4 separate regions of the Mus musculus genome follow, and regions 2, 3 and 4 are each reported to be linked to region 1. Evidence: microRNA targets listed by miRTarBase, many of them from high-throughput screens and not tested one by one. Region 1 holds a microRNA gene; each other region holds the end of a gene's coding sequence.
The links. Region 1 holds the annotated microRNA mmu-miR-3961 (UGCCCUCAGCUCAGUUGGA, at 1,355-1,373, opposite strand). A microRNA usually pairs through its seed, bases 2 to 8, with sites in the 3' UTR of a target mRNA and lowers its output. Matches are read on the target gene's strand: a 7mer-m8 pairs with bases 2 to 8, a 7mer-A1 pairs with bases 2 to 7 and ends in A, and an 8mer does both.

Region 2: the mRNA of Rmi2 is a reported target of mmu-miR-3961. Seed matches in the 3' UTR shown: 7mer-m8 at 1,532-1,538.
Region 3: miRTarBase lists Chrna1 as a target of mmu-miR-3961. Seed matches in the 3' UTR shown: 7mer-A1 at 2,285-2,291.
Region 4: miRTarBase lists Prpf31 as a target of mmu-miR-3961. Seed matches in the 3' UTR shown: 7mer-m8 at 1,818-1,824.

Annotation. Positions count from the first base shown.
Region 1 is chr13:82,696,924-82,700,991 of GRCm38, forward strand. Mir3961 (microRNA 3961) reads right to left here and starts at 1,410; the gene lies at 1,352-1,410.
Region 2 is chr16:10,839,554-10,843,621 of GRCm38, reverse strand. It overlaps Rmi2 (RecQ mediated genome instability 2), which reads right to left. Exons shown (of 2, transcript NM_001162932.1): 2 at 387-3,793. The coding sequence ends at 3,645. Among named protein-coding and RNA genes, the nearest start is that of Rmi2, 6.5 kb to the right of the region's middle.
Region 3 is chr2:73,562,661-73,566,728 of GRCm38, reverse strand. It overlaps Chrna1 (cholinergic receptor, nicotinic, alpha polypeptide 1 (muscle)), which reads left to right. Exons shown (of 9, transcript NM_007389.5): 8 at 1-27; 9 at 422-3,448. The coding sequence ends at 553. It overlaps Gm30940 (a long non-coding RNA gene), which reads right to left. Exons shown (of 2, transcript XR_866434.2): 2 at 1,351-1,529. Among named protein-coding and RNA genes, the nearest start is that of Gm30940, 3.5 kb to the right of the region's middle.
Region 4 is chr7:3,640,598-3,644,665 of GRCm38, forward strand. It overlaps Prpf31 (pre-mRNA processing factor 31), which reads left to right. Exons shown (of 14, transcript NM_027328.4): 14 at 200-1,888. The coding sequence ends at 325. Gm15927 (a long non-coding RNA gene) reads right to left here and starts at 3,748. Exons shown (of 6, transcript XR_003946711.1): 1 at 3,656-3,748; 2 at 3,217-3,572; 3 at 2,577-2,678.

The sequences.
Region 1 (4,068 bases):
TTAAAGAGATATGACTGTTGGTTCCTGAGATGTTTGTTTTGGTAGGTTATTTTATGTGATTGTGGCTCTCTGCTTTTTACTTGGTTCTGAAATGATTAATAGTTTGTCCTTTCTTTGGTGTAGATATCTTCCATGTGTTGGAGTTTTCCTTACAGAATTCTCTGTAGGACTGGATTGGTAGATACTCTTTGAATTTAGTTTTGTCCTGGAATATTTTTGTTTCCCCATTTATGTTGATTGAGAGTTTTGCTGGGTATAGTAGCCTGGGCTGGCATTTGTGTTCTCTTATGGTCTGTGTAACATCTGTCCAGGATCTTCTGGCTTTCATAGTCTCTGTTGAGAAGTCTGGTGTAATTCTAATAGGTCTACCTTTGTATGTTACTTGGCCTTTTTCCCTTGCAGCCTTTAATATTCTTTGTTTACTCTGTGCATTTAGTGTTTTGATAATTATGTGATGAGAAGATTTTCTTTTCTGGTCTCATTTACTTGGTGTTCTATAGGCTTCTTGTATCTTTATGTCCATCACTTTCTTTAGGTTGGAAAAGTTTTCTTCTATTATTTTATTTAAGACATTTTCAGATCTTTTGAGCTGGGAATCTTCATTCTCCTCTATTCTGATTATTCTTAGATTTGGTCTTTTTATTGTGTCCTGAATTTCCTGGATGCTTTGGGTTAGAAGGTTTGTATATTTTGTATTTTCTTTGACAGTTTTTTCTACCATATCTTCTGTACCTGAGATTCTTTCTTCTATCTCTTGTATTCTGCTGGTAATACTTACATTTGTAATTCCTGACCTCTTTCCTAGGTTTCCTTTTCCAGATTTGCCTTCATTTGTGATTTTTCTATCGTTTCTACTAACACTTTTAGGTTTTGGATTGCTTTATTCAATTCCTTCACCTATTTACCTGTGTTTTCCTGTATTTCTTTCAGTGAGTTATTGATATCCTCCTTAAATGACTCTATTATGTTCATGAGATAGGATTTTAGGACAGATTCCTGATTTTCAGGCGTGCTGGTATATTCAGGTTTTGCTCTGGTAGGAGAACTGGGTTCTGATGATGCCCATGGATTTTGGCATCTGTTGCTTATGGTCTTGTCCTTGCCTTTTGCCATCAGGTTATCCCTGGTATTTGTTGATCTAGGTGACTGTATGGAGTCTACCTCTTTTGTCCCTGGGTTGCTTCAGGTCTCCTGGAAGGCTTGTGGCCCTGGCTGTATCAGACCACCTGTGGGGCTGTCCAACTGGCAGCTCTTCACAGAGGCAGAGAAACTGCTGGTCTATTGCCTGGCAGCAGTAGACCTCCTGGTTGGCCTTCAGACTGTTGAGTCTTTAGGTGGAGTAGTCAAGTTGTTGTCCAACTGAGCTGAGGGCAGCTGATACTCAACTGCTCTGAGTGCATTTGGTCCTCTAGGATATATCGGGATATGGAATCTTCATGGGAGCAGGCCAACTAGGAGTCTGCCCCAGCAGAAAGGACCAGACTGAAAGGGTGGAAAGGACTGAAGGAATGGTGAGCATGAAACTTTCTAACTTGAGCTATTTTATCATTTTTATCATTTTAATAATTTTGTGTACAATATTTAATTCATCAACTCAATAATATTTAGCTGAATACTCTGTGAACAGAAAGAAAAAATTGAAAGATTAAAGCTCTAGGCTATTCTGTGTTCTCAGAAGACCTTGACTGTTAATAAATGTTACAATGGATTTTGCAGTCTACTTTCTCTGAATATTTTTCCAGGTAGTGAAAATAAGCAATTTGCTTCTCTTGATTTTTGTATAAGAAAATATGAGTGGCAACTGAAAAGAAATTCACAAAAAATCATGAAAACCCAGCAAGGGACATCTATCTCCACTTATAAGAAAACCAGTTTTCCCTTTTAAAAACAAGATGTTTTTCAATTCTCAGAAGGGAGTTATCATCTTAATTAAAAGCGAATATCAATATGAATTTAAAGGCTGTTGGTTCCTTTCACGTATGCTTTGGACAGTAGGTATATGCAAAAGAAGAGAAAAAAAAAACAAAAACAAACAAACAAAAAATGTCAAAGGGTGTTAGTTTGGATTCTGTTTATCAATATTAAGGGACCAAAGGAAATGGAATTCTATGTTTTTCTTTGTATATTATACTTATATTGTTCTTTGGGAAGGTAATCAAAATCAATCGTCTAAACCATTTGATCAAGTAGCTGGTCAGATGGAAACTACCCAGGAGTTAAAATTGTGACCATACTGTAGACTGTGAGGGTGAACAAAATTGTAAACATTTTCAACAGGAACCAGTTTTACATGGGTAAGCAAAGTAGAAATATTTCTGCTTAGTTTCTCTAGTGTTATCCAATGCTAAAACAGATCAGAACTATCTAGTTGGGGGTGAAGGTACTACTAGAGTCTTCATGAATGTTCATCATTTGGTGAAATTCTTATGTACTCATGTTTTATAATTCTTCTAAATATTAAAACATACTCATTTGGATAATGAAGAGATCAAAATTATTACACAGATAATATATACTATTTAGGATGTTTGCAGTCTTACATGTCTAGTCTTTGAAGTATTCAACTCCTATTCTTGCCCAGGATCCTACACACTGAAAGAAATTAGGGGTGCCTCATAATCGCTGTTTATTTGACTCATAATCTCTAAGATTGTCCAATGATCATCGAACCTGACTACCACAAAAAAAAGTAATTGAACATTTACAAAGCTCTACTAATACTTAAAAAATATCTTCTGAGAATGCCAGAGAAGTTTAGTGGTAGGGTCTTTGTACAACATATATCAGAACCTAGACTCAATCTCTAGAAAAATACATACATACATACATACATACATACATACATACATACATACATTCATTCATAAAAACACAAATAAATATTGTCACACTATTTACATAAAAACTGTTAGCATCCCTAAAGATGTATTTAAATCACGTTAGAAATTGCTATCATAGTTTTATCATAGTACTTACCAATGTAACTGTTAAGACTTTAAAGAAAAATAGCTGAGTTGCTTTATAGCAAAGACAATTGTTTAGTGTGGCTTTCCATACAGGTATTCAAGATTCAAATGCAATTGCTCTTTGTCAATCTCTAGATATGCTATCCCTCTCAGAACCAAGTGATCACTCTTATAATCTCGTTAATGTATTTAGATTTCACACTGTATACAGTTTGTATTTCTGTATCTCTGTTATATCTGTTGACAAAATATCATCCAGATCCATTTATTTTTCTGGAGATGAGATTATTCCACTTATCTTTATGGGCATATATACTTGACTGTTCTTTTCTAGCCACTGAAGATTAGTTCCTAGACTAACTTCATATCATGAGTGCTGTGAGAGTGGCACTTGCACAGATCGTGTCAGAGTATCCCTTAGTTTGCTGATTTCATTTCTTCCCAAATGCATCTTGAAATAGGACAACTGATAATATGTTCAATCTATGTTTAGCCTTGAAGTAACCTCCTTATATTTTCCATAATTCACATGTTAATTATGATTCAACTATCAATAAATAAAAGCTCATTTTAATTCCATGCCTAACAACTGTCTCTTCTTTTAAACAATTAGCATTGTTATTGATGTTGGGTGATACCTCATTACAATTTTGATTGCTATTTCTTTATCTGGTGATGACACCGAGCAATTTTAGATATGTATTAACCATAGAAATTCAAGAAACTAACTAAAACAAATAATTTAATTGAAAAGCAGCAGGTATTGGGAGTACAAACTTTTCAAATATTATTTTCACAATAGTATATAACTATTTGTATTATGGATAAAAATATTCCAGAGGGAATACTTTCCAGAACATTGCTTTAAAAATGAACAAGTTCAGTTTAATAGTAGATACAGTACTCTATCATATAATGTTGTAGCAATAGTTAATAATCCATACTTTGAAATGGCTAAAAAATAGAATTTTAAAAGCTTTAATCGGGGCTGGTGAGATGGCTCAGTGGGTAAGAGCACCCGACTGCTCTTCTGAAGGTCAGGAGTTCAAATCCCAGCAACCACATGGTGGCTCACAACCACCCGTAACGAGATCTGACTCCC
Region 2 (4,068 bases), not on the chromosome of region 1:
CACCAGGGAAGTGCAGGCAGGAGGAGCTGGGCTTCATGATCATGCATAACTGCACAGTGAGATTGAGGCTAGCCTGGAACATGAGATGATGCCTCAAAATTAATTAATTTGAGACCTAAGGTATAGCTAGCTCAGCTGTAGAGTCTGCCCAGCATGCAAGAGGCCCTGGGCTCTATCTCCAGGACTGAAAAATTGTGTGTGTGTGTGCATATGCATGTGTGTGTATACTGTGTGTACCTGTGTGTCTGTTTATTAAATTCCAGTGCAATCAAAAGCAACTGATCAACTGTCCCAGACAAGGGAGACCTTAAGGAGACACGACGGCCAAGTAGAATGTGGAATCCTGGGGAAAAATGAATAAAGAAACCAGAACAAACTATAAATTTGGTTACTAACTTTTCAGTATTTGTTCATTAGTTAATTTGTTAATTAATTTTAACATCCATGCCATACTAATGTAAGATATTCATGATAGGAACCTGGTATGTCTATAATTTAAGACATCCTGGGTTTGAGCCCCAATACTGCATAAACCAAGCTTAATGGCGCACACCTGTGATCTCAATACTCAGGAAGCTGAGGCAGGAGGATCAGGAGTTCCAGGACAAACTTGGCTACAGAGACCATGCAAATAAATAGGCAAATAAAAATATAAACAGCTGCACTATTTTGGCAAATTTTCTGAGGCTCAAACAACGTACATTGGAGCTGGAGAGATGGCTCAGCAATTAAGAGCACTTGCTGCTCTTCCAGAGGACCTGAGTTTGGTTCCCAGAACCCACACAGGGATGCTCAGACCTGCTGTAACCCCAGCTCAAGATTCCAAGGTCCTCTTTTAGACTCACACACACACAAATAAAAATAGACCTAAAAAATGAATGGTTCAGCAGTCAAACACAGATCACTTTTCAACTTGGCCTTCCTTTAAAAGAAAATGTTAGCACCTTTAACACAGCACTCAGGAGGCAGAAACTCATCTGCTCTACATAATGAGTTCCAGGAAAGCCCAAGTTCAAGGCCAGTCTGAACTAGAGACACTGCCTAAAAAGGTAGGGTGGGGAAGGCAGGGTGAGGAGGGGAGGGAAGGAAGAAGGGAAGGCCAGAGAGACTGACTACTGCTGGCTGGCTGGCTGGCTGGCTGGCTGGCTGGCAGGAAGGCAGTCATGCAGAAAGATGAATCAGCTGGTAGTCTTTACGTGGGATTGTAGGGCACCATCCTCCCAGCACAACAGACATCCATCAGTTTAAAGGTCAGAGGAGGCTAGCTGGTCGAGTGCTACTCTGGCGTGTGTGAGACCCTGGGGACCCCGTGGTCCAACCCCAGTGCCATTCATTACTACTGTTTTTTTTTTTTTTTTTTTAAGATTTATTTATTATATGTAAGTACACTGTAGCTGTCTTCAGACACACCAGAAGAGGGCGTCAGATCTTGTTACAGATGGTTTGTGAGCCACCATGTGGTTGCTGGGATTTGAACTCCGGACCTTTGGAAGAGCAGTCGGGTACTCTTACCCACTGAGCCATCTCACCAGCCCTCATTACTACTATTCTTAAACCCTATTTATTTATTTATTTATTTATTTGTTTTTCGAGACAGGGTTTCTCTGTGTAGCCCTGGCTGTCCTGGAACTCACTTTGTAGACCAGGCTGGCCTCGAACTCAGAAATCCGCCTGCTTCTGCCTCCCTGGGATTAAAGGCGTGCGCTACCACCACCTGGCTCTCTTTATTTTTTAGGACTTATTTTTTTTTAAGTATTTATTTGAAGTCTATATGCTAGGTTGTGAGGGTTTTCCAGGGGCCAGAAGGCGGCGTCAGATGCCTAGGAACTACAGGGAGTTACTGAAGCTGTGAGCTACCTGGCATGGGGCTGGTAAAGTTTATTTATCAACACTCTCTCTTGGGCTCCAAAGCACCCCACGAACACATAACTAAAGATAAAATCTTTTTTTTAAGGCGTCCATGTAAGCAGGCTGGAGGAGCAGGCCTGCAATCCCAGTTAACCAGAGGCAGGAAGATGGGAAATCTGAGGTTGGCCTGAGCTACAAACTGGGCTCAAGGCCTCGATGCTTTTTCTAGGGGGTGGAGGGCAGGAAGGAGGCAGGTCTAGATCACCTGAGTCCTCATCCTCTCTTGTCCCTCGATGTCCATCTCCTGCCAGGTGACTCCTTAGCTTTTCTGGTGACAAGTACCACCTGATGCTCATGGCAATCCAGGTGAGGCTGGGTGTGGGGGCCGAGTGTGGGGTGTGGGCCACACTCTGGAGGCTGCAGCAGGAGGCCTGCCACATCTGGCTAGCCTTGAAGACACAAGAGCTGGGGCTCTAGCTCATGTGTTTGCTTAACACATACACAGCCTCAGCTTCAGTGTGCTTATGGAAACACTTTCTGTTCATTCTTTCCAAAAACCTAAAACTGTTTTAATAAATCAACATTTTAGGCTGGAAATGTGGCTCAGTAATACAGTGTTTGCTTAGCTTGCAGGAAGCCCTGGGTTCCATCCCCAGCACTGCAGACACAGTAGTGCACACCCGTAATCTCAACGGGCTGGAGGGGAGGGAAGAGAGTCATGAGCTGGAGACTACCTGAGCTATATAAGACCCTGTCTTTAAGACAAACAGATAGTAGGGCTTACTTTTAAAAACTACACCACACAAAAAATGTTACTAGGGCCGGGTGTGGTGGCGCACGCCTTTAATCCCAGCACTGGGGAGGCAGAGGCAGGCGGATTTCTGAGTTCGAGGCCAGCCTGGTCTAAAAAGTGAATTCCAGGACAGCCAGGGCTATACAGAGAAACCCTGTCTCGAAAAACAACAAAAAACAAAACAAAAAAAGTGTTACTAGGAAGAGTCCTACAGCAAGACTGTAACATAAGATGGCCTGCTGGGTCTTTGCCATCCAAATAGGAATCTAGCCTGGGTTGTCAGCAGAAAGCCAAACCCAACACTGATACAACCCCAACAGAAAGGCGTTTCATACAGAAAGGAGGCCAGGACTCTAAGCCTACAGGCTGTTCCACCTTGGATGTCTCTCCACAACAGTTTTGAAGCAGAAGTGCTTGAAAAGTCTGTCTCCATCTTGGATTTTTAAGTTCAACAGAGAATTGTGAGAATTCCCACCATTCTCAACAGCTGGCCTCAGCTTCAGTATGAGCACAATGCATATGAGAGCAAGCTGTCAGCAAGGGGCTGGTACCTGTCCCTACAAGTTGGCAATAGCTGGTGATGGGAGGCAGGCCACTATGCCATTCTGTCCTCACATCTGTAATTTTAATCCATTGGCAACAAACTGAAATTCAGAGGTATGGTCAAGGAGAAAGTGTTATCATTCGAAGAACCAGGAAATGACAACATGAGCTTTCCACGAGCTTCAGCAAGAGAAAGGCACACTTTCGCGCGCGCGCACGCGCACACACACACACACACACACACACACACACACACACACACACACGTAAGTGACGGGGGGGGGGGGGGGCATATGCTTTGCAGCAGCAGCAGGAAGGCAGGGAGGAGTGGCTTAGACAACCGAGGATCCAGTTCCCAGGGTCCAGACGGCTGGCTCAACCAAAGCGAATCTCTTCAAGAAACTTTTGTGATGTTCCTGAGACCCATATGGGGGTAAACTGTTCTTAGAGGGTCCCAGCGCTAAGGAATATTCCTGTGTAAATCTTCCACCTCCAGTTCCCACATGCTTTCGTGGACAGGATTGTCAGAAAGATCCGTCATCTTCACGGCCTGCAGGCAGGGCTCAGGACTGCAGGCCTGAACCACCCCCATCACCATCACATACTTTCCTGGGAAGAGAAGAGAAGGATGGTGATGTTCATACTAACAAGGCAGGTGGGAAAAACCAACAGAGACCCCGACCTTGGGGCCTTTATCAGAGAAGGAAGGTCGAGACAGAAACCTTGTCTAGGGCTAGGGAGATGAAGCTTGTAGGCAAAGCTCAGGCCTGGTTGGTAAAAGGCTTGCCAAAGCTTGTGGACCTGAGTTCAGAGGCCCAGCATCCATGCAGAAAAAGCATGGCAGGGTGGCATGCATATGTATGTGATCAGTGTTAACGAAAGGA
Region 3 (4,068 bases), not on the chromosome of region 1:
ATGAAGTCAGACCAGGAGTCCAATAACGTAAGCTGTGTGGCTCCCAGTCCACACCTCCGGGTCTGTCTGTCTGTCTATCTATCTGCCTGCCTCTGCCTTCTGAGTGCTAAGACCAAAGGTTTGCGCCACAACCTCTAAGCTAACACACCTCTGGGTCTAAATGATTAAATGCATAAGTGTGACAGGGAGGTTGACCAATGAATTGGCTTCAAGCTCTAGTTACTAACTTCAGATGCACTGTGTTGACTATCTCTGGCAACTATAGTAAGTCATTTTGGCTTAATTATGCAAAAACTAAAGGTTGTAATATCAGGTGTTGAGGTTTGGAGGTTTACATATTGAAGGCCAGGCCAGTAGGGGGCGCTATGAGCCTGTGTCCCATCTCAGGGGATTCCTATCTAACGCCCTCTGCTTCCCCCAGGCCGCTGAGGAATGGAAGTATGTTGCCATGGTGATGGATCACATCCTCCTCGGAGTCTTTATGCTGGTGTGTCTCATCGGGACGCTGGCTGTGTTTGCAGGTCGGCTCATTGAGTTACATCAACAAGGATGAGCAGAGGCTGAGCTAAGCCTACCTCTGTCCCAGCCATAGCCATCGCTAGGAAAGATGGAAGAGAGGAAGGTCTGTCTCCTTGAATCCTTTCACACTTACCAAACATGCAGTGTTCTACATGTCCTACATGTTAATGAGAGTGATCTCTGCTCACACGGCTGTATTCTTGAAGTGTCTCCCCTTTGCTTCTGCTTTTAACACTATGGGCCTCCTTAAAGGGCGAACCCTTTGAAGTAAATAAAAGTGAGCCCTCAAAAGAAGTGTTTGCTTCTAAATGGCCCCTGGGAGAGTTTTGCTTGGATACTCAAGGTTTTCTGTTTGTATTGCCATGGCTAGTTGTTTTTGTTTTCTTTCCTTTAATAAATATAATTGTACTTATATGAGTGATCCGCCTACGTGTATGTCTCACATACACGCCTAGTGTCCATGAAGGTCAGAAGAAGGTATCCCATCTCCTAGAACTGGAACTACAAATGGTTGTGAGCGTCCACATGGAACCTGGGAATCAGGCCCTCTGGAAGAGCACCCAGTGTTCTTAACCACTGAACCACCCACCTATCGGGCTCAGTTAATTTTTATTTTTAAAGTGCTGAGAGTCCCTTACTTAAGACACACGGTTTCATACCTACTAGAAAAGTCGTGTCTACCAGATTCCCCAGATTTGATGTGGACACAAAGGAAGTGGTAGAAAGGAAATTAGGTAACTTTAAACTTAAAAAAAAATTGTGTGTGTGTGTGTGTGTGTGTGTGTGTGTGTGTGTACATACTCGCACACATTGATGAAATTGGGGGACAACTTTTAGGAGTTAGTTCTCATCTTTTATCTCATTTGAGGCAAAGTATCTTGTGATTTCTGCCGCTGTGTTACATTCTCATGTAAAGCTTCCTGGGGCATTTTCCTTTCTATACTTCTCGGCCCATGAACAGAGTGCAGGGATTCCAGATGCATGCCGCCATCTCCAGCTTTTCATAGGTCCTAGGATAGAATTTAGGTCGTTAGGTTTGTCCAGCAAAAAACTACTTTTACCTGCTTAATCCATTTCACTGGCCCAAAGGTAATTTTAGGGCGATCACATACAAATAGTATCAAAACCTCATGGTTTAAAGTAGACTTCTGAAACCAGGAGAGGGAGAATGCTTTCTTAAGTGATTTCTGTTTGAGAGGCCTTCTTGAAAGGGCGCTTGGGATTCCTTGGGATTGTACCTAGAGCTTTGCACACAGAGCTATAACTGAGCCTCAGCTCTCCCAACTTAACGGAGCCCCTGGATTTTGTTCTCAGGACCCGAGGAAGGGCAGATCCCATCCTCATCAAGGGTGTGCCTCTGACCCCATGAGAATCGTCTCGCCCGCATGGGTTTATTTTATCCAAATTGTTTTACACAGTCTCCATAATGTCCCTAATTTACAAATGGAAAAAAAAATTTTTGGGGAAAGTTAAACTCTGCTCCATCTAGAAGTAGAAGAACTGAGATCTGAACCCAGACAGAACTTAAGATTCTAAAACAGGGGCTGGAGAGATGGCTCTATGGTTAAGATCATTCCCAGCAACCACAGGGTGCATGGTGGCTCACAACCATCTACAGTGGGATCTGATGCCCTCTGCTGGTGTGCAGGTGTGCATATACAAAGCACTCACACATAAATACATAAACAAACAAACAAATATTTTTTAAAGATTTATTTATTTATTATATGTAAATACACTGTAGCTGTCTTCAGACACTCCAGAAGAGGGCATCAGATCTTGTTACAGATGGTTGTGAGCCACCATGTGGTTGCTGGGATTTGAACTCTGGACCTTCAGAAGAACAGTCGGGTGCTCTTACCCACTGAGCCATCTCACCAGCCCCAAATATTTTTTTTAAAAGTCAAAAAGAAAAGGGATTCTAAACCGACTTGCAGCTGATGGGGTCACCTGCTCCCTGCTCTCCCAGCATGCCTGGCGTGATCTAAGTAGTTCTGGTCTGTGTTGGTGGGGACTCTGTGATATCCTATTTCCTGCCTTCTCAATTAAAACCCCTGGCTTTTCCTTCAGTCCTTGGACGCAATCATGTTTGGAGTTCAGGCCCTATGAATGGAACCAGAAACGTATGCACACACCATCACCATTTCTGAAATCTGAAAAATAAATTCTCTGTGCCAAACTCTAGGCTCTAGTACAATTTACCCAGACCAAGAAGCCGTGTGGCTCTGGACGCAGAAAAGGCCTTTGAATCACAAACACATCTGATCCGTCATCTCCAGGGAGAGCTATAAACTGCATAACCAGGAGGCCAGTGCGAGCCCAGGTGGCTTCAATCTCCTGAGGGACTTCCCATCACCCCTGCACCAGTGCTGGGCTCTTTCATCTCAAATAGTTTGCACTTTAAAGTGGAAACAATTGGCAGTTTCTCAGAAAGTCACACTCGGGTCACCAAGTCACTCAGCAGTCCCATTCCCAGGTAGAGAGCCAAAGAAATCGAAAGAAAGACTTACACAATTTGTATGAGAACGCGCACAGAAGGCAAGAGCCAGAGAAAGCGGTCTAGGCTCCAACCCACAGACGACAAGCAAAAGGGATGTGGAGAATGGGTTTTGGGGTGTATGTGTGTAGGCCTGGGGGGCCATCGCCTTTTTGTTTTGTTGTTGTTTTTGAGATAGAGTTTCTCACTGGCCTGGAACTTGCCAAGTAGTTTAGGCTGGCTAGGCAGGCCATTCCGAGATCTGCCTGTCTCCTCTTTCTGCAAACAATTTAGTTGGCATGGGTTCTGGGGCTCTTACTCAGATCTAAAAACAAGCATTTTGTCAGTTGATCTAATTCTTTAGCTTTTTCTACTCACGACCACTTTTTGCTTGAGAAATGTTATGTAGAAATATAAAATATGTATAAAAATAAATAACAAAGAAATTTAATTAAAAAAATTCTCTGACATGCATAGCATTTTATCACCTATTAAGGATAAAAAATAAATTTGCTTTTGAGAGGGGTGTGTTTATTTTTTGTCTAACACAATCGCATCTAAAGATAAACAAATTTGATACTTACTTGCCTGGGACAATGGAAGGTAAATATCACAAGTCTCTGTTTTCAGTAATTAAACATAATATGCTCTAAGAGAGTAAGGTCACCGCAGTTCATGACATTCAATAGTATCAAATCTGAGCAGAGGTAAATCAGTGTGTTCACTGGTGTTGCATATCGTGATGGCGTGCACCGTGCAGTGTTCGTGTGTGTTCAGACCACAAGGCAACTCGTACAAACACTGCCACAGAAGATCTCAGAATCACGCTGTGTTTGATTTTTGAGCTAACTTTTGGTAATTGCACATCCGGAACCTGTTTCTGCTGCCCAGTTTTTCTGAAACCCCACACCTGGTCACATGACCATGTGGCCACAAGGTAAACTCCACTTACACAAGGTCCTTAGAAATACTCAGGTAGAAATGGAGAAGAGGCTGTGGGAGGCTGGGGCGGGGGGGTGTGGGGTGTGGAGGGGAAATTAGGAGTTATCGTTCATGGGAACAGACTTTCACTA
Region 4 (4,068 bases), not on the chromosome of region 1:
AGATTAACAGTCCTGACATCTAAGACCTACCCCAACACCCACTGTGTCAAAAATCTCCCAAACTGAGGGAGACTTCAGGGACTGTAAATGGTTCCATGTCCACAAGAGTGTCTGGGAGACTCTGACATGTCTGGTTCTCATCTAGAGGGAGGCCTGAGCTTCCCAACTTCACCTGTCACCCTCTTCCTTTCCAACCCAGGGTCTAGAGATTGTGAACCCACAAGCAGCCGAGAAGAAGGTGGCAGAGGCCAACCAGAAGTATTTCTCTAGCATGGCCGAGTTCCTCAAGGTCAAGGGTGAGAAAAGTGGCACCATGTCTACCTGAAGGAGCCCGCACTCCAGGTGACCATCCACTGAAAGGACATAAAGGACTGGAGCTTCTGAAGTGACAGATATCCAGCCAGGAAGTTGTGGTGTGGTGGAGGCAGCCTTCCATGCTTTGCCTTTGGCCCAAGGCCATAGCATCCAAGAAAAAGGATGAAGAACCTTAGCCTGCCTCCCCCAGCATCCATGCTGCTGCTTCCCTAAACGGGCAGAAAGGTCTTCCTCACACTCAGCTTTTTTACTTACAGGGGGAAAGGCAGTGCTTTTATAGAACGAGTACAATTAAATGTGTAGTGTCGGGCTCTGAACAGAGGGTGTGAGTGATTATGAAAGAACCAAAGGACTCAGAGCTGTGGGGCTTCCAGTGTGAGCAGCATGGACCCAGCTCTCTTCTGCTCTTATCCTGGAATCTAAGAAAAACCCTGTCTATCTCTAACACCATCACCTGCCCCATGAGAACATCAGCATCATGGCCACCACAAAACTCCAGGACCCAACAAGACCCACAGGGTTGTTGTCCCTCAGGCTAGACACCTTGGTCCAAGAAACATCCACACAAAATGAAGCACGTAAAAGCCTTGGAAAGTGTGTACAGAAAGCACCCACCCAGTTCTGCATTCATGGTGGAGCCTATTGTTTTAATTCATGTTTGATGAGGGGTCCAAGCCTAGGTCCTCAGCAAGGGTGAGGCAGGCGGGTGTCCTGTGGGAGGGACCAATGCCAGGCAAGCAAAAGAAGTGCACACCACCCAGTCTGACTTGCGAGCCGGGGCTTCAAGGGAGAACGTTGAACAGTGCGAACTGTGTCTGGTTTGTTATGAGTCTGTCGTTCTCTGAGGGAGAGTAGCTGCTGGGCTCCATTTTCTCTGCTTAAGGTTAGCTCTGTTGGTCTAAATGTAGATGTAGCTGGTGAGGTTAGGGCTTTCTATCTTGGGCTTCCTGGTCTCTATTCCTCTCTACATACTGTATCTTAATCGTAGTCCCCCGTGGGTCTGTTGGGGAAAGCCCTTTGTCTGTCACTTCCCTTAGAACCCCTACTCTGTCCCTGGCCTGACTTCATTCTGACTTTGCCAGTGTTGAGTGGAGTGAAGTATGAAGATGTGAGTCTCGGAATTCAAGATGCTGCAGAATGTCTTGAGGACTCACTAAGATATGGTTGCTGGTCGTAAAGTTTGATTTCACTTTTGCTAAGATAGAGCTCAAAAAATGTGTATTTAAGCCTGTAATCCTACTTACTCAGGAGACTTTTGAGGCAGAAGGGTTGGAAGTACTTAGGCTACACAGTTGAGTTCAAGGTCAGCCTAGGCTGTAGGAAAAAGCCAGTGTCCAAAAAAGAAAGGAAGGAAGAAAGCAAGCAAGCAAGCTAGGGAGATCTGGCAAGATAGCACTGTTGGTAAAGTGTATTTCATAAAAACATGGGAACCTTGGAAGGCAGAAGCAGGCAGATCTCTGAGTCTAAAGACAGCCTGGTGTACAGAGTAAGTTCCAGGACATTGAGGGCTACACAGAGAAACCCTGTCTTGAAAAACCCCAAAACCAAAATAAAGCCAAAACAACAGCATAAAACCATGAGTTCAATACTTGGCACCCATATAAAGGCAAGGAGTTGGTAGCATGTATTTGCCATTCCAATGCTGACAAGGTGGACACAGGTATGTATGGTCCTGATGAGTGGCCTATCTAAAACAAAGCAAAACAACCTCAAAAACAGCAACAACAAAAAATGAGCTGCTGAGATTGACTTGGCCTTCATAAGCACATGCATGTGCACCTGCACACAGTACATTCATATGCATATGCACACATTCATATGCATATACACACACAAAATGTTAGGGGGAGTTGACTAAAGAGATGGCTGCTCCTCAAGAGGACCTGGGTTTGATTCCCAGCACCCACGTCAGCCTACAATGGTCTATAGCTCTAGCCCCAGAGAATGACATCCTTTTCTTATCTCCTTGGGCACCAGGTGCACATGTGGTGTAGACACGCATAAGCTAAACACCTATACGTACACAATCAAAGTTTTTAAAGGGCCAGCAATACAGTTCAAACCGGGGTGCCTGCCTAGCAGTGTCAAGGCCATGTCTCAAACATTTTAAAAGGGCTTTGCGGTGTGGTGGCACTCACTCACTCCCAGCGTTACCAGGCAGAGACCAGATTTCTGTGAGTTCTCTGGCGAACCTAGTCTACACAGTGACTTCCAGTTCCTTAAAAGGTCGAAGAAGCAGCCACATGGTGGTAAGCACATACCTGAAATCCAGTACTTGAGAAATGGAAGCAGGAAGACTTGAAGTTCAAGGTCATTCTCTGCTGCAAAGCTCTAGGTCCAATCCAGCCTGTCCTATGTGAAATCTGTCAAAAAGGAGAGGCAAGAATCGACTGGAAATAGCTCAATAGTAGTCTTCCTCCCTAGCATGTTAAGCCTTGGTTTCAAATCTCTCTACTGGAAAGAAAAACAGGAATTTCCATGGATCATTTCAGGGAAAGAATAACTAGTTTCCAACTCTAGCTGTTGATGTAATTGTTCTAGCATAAGTCTTAAGTATCTGGATTCTACCTCCACCAACTCCCCCGGTGATTCTAAAGTGCAGCTCAGCCCGAGAATCATAACTGTTTTTAAGGCCATTAGTATATCCTGGGAGCTTGTTAGAAAAAGCAGAATTGGGGACCGCCTAGATAAGAAGGAAGCTGCATCTTAATAATTTGGCAGGGATTCCTGATAGAGCTAGAAGCAGTTCCCCATTCTTGGGCCCGCATGAAATAGCAAAACTGAATGAATAACAAACTCGAGAGAGTGTAGAAGCTGTTTAAAAAATCTGGACAAACACTGGTCCCTAGGTTTCACCTTCTTAAGTCTATGTGACCCTAAGAATATGCATCTAAAAATTACATAAATGTGTGAGCTTAAGTGCACCAGCAGATGCCAGCTGAAAGAGTCAGATCTGGAACTGAAGTTACAAGCATGCAAGCCACCCTGTGGGAACTGGTCCTCTGCAGGAAAATGTTCTTAACTGCTGAGCCATCTTTCCAGCCGAAGAATATGCCTTTTTATAAGCCATTTTTTCTCTCTTGCTTCATGCCATTCTGATGCGGTGAAATGCACGTGCACGTTCTCTTCAAGTGTGGATTTATCTTCTTTTCCTCCACATAGTAGGCAGAGATAGATCGAGTTTCCCCAATTCATGAAAACGTGGTGCTCACGTTTGCAACCTAGTCAGCAAAGGGCTATGGAGTGCTTCATGGGTACTAAACAACGAGAAATCCAGAGAGTGAGACTCAAGTATGTGTAAAAACGGCAGGAATCAAACAAAATTAAACCAGAGGCTCACCTAAGCACTCGGCAAGGGTGGTCGGAGAAGTTTACTCCTTAAGAAGCATAGCAGAACTCTAGTGAGTAGTCATTACAGATGTAACCGAGGTAGGGCAAAGCGCAGTTTCCTCTACAGCTGGAGTCCTTGCAACTCCAGGGAAGGTCCCAGTCTGCTAACTTAACCAGAGAAACGTCAGTCCCACGCCTTGTGTTTCTCAGTCGCTTCTGCAATGTTCCTGATTCCTTCTTTCTTTCTTTCATCCTTTAGAAAGCACTGAGTTTTAGAGATATACCAAGCAAACGCGCTTGGGGAATAACTACGAGGATCAGATAACAGCCTAGACAGGCAAAGGAAGGATGCTCCGACAACCACACCTGTCGGCAGGTTAATAGCTACCCTATTGGCTAACCGAGGGAAGGGGCGGGGTGTTT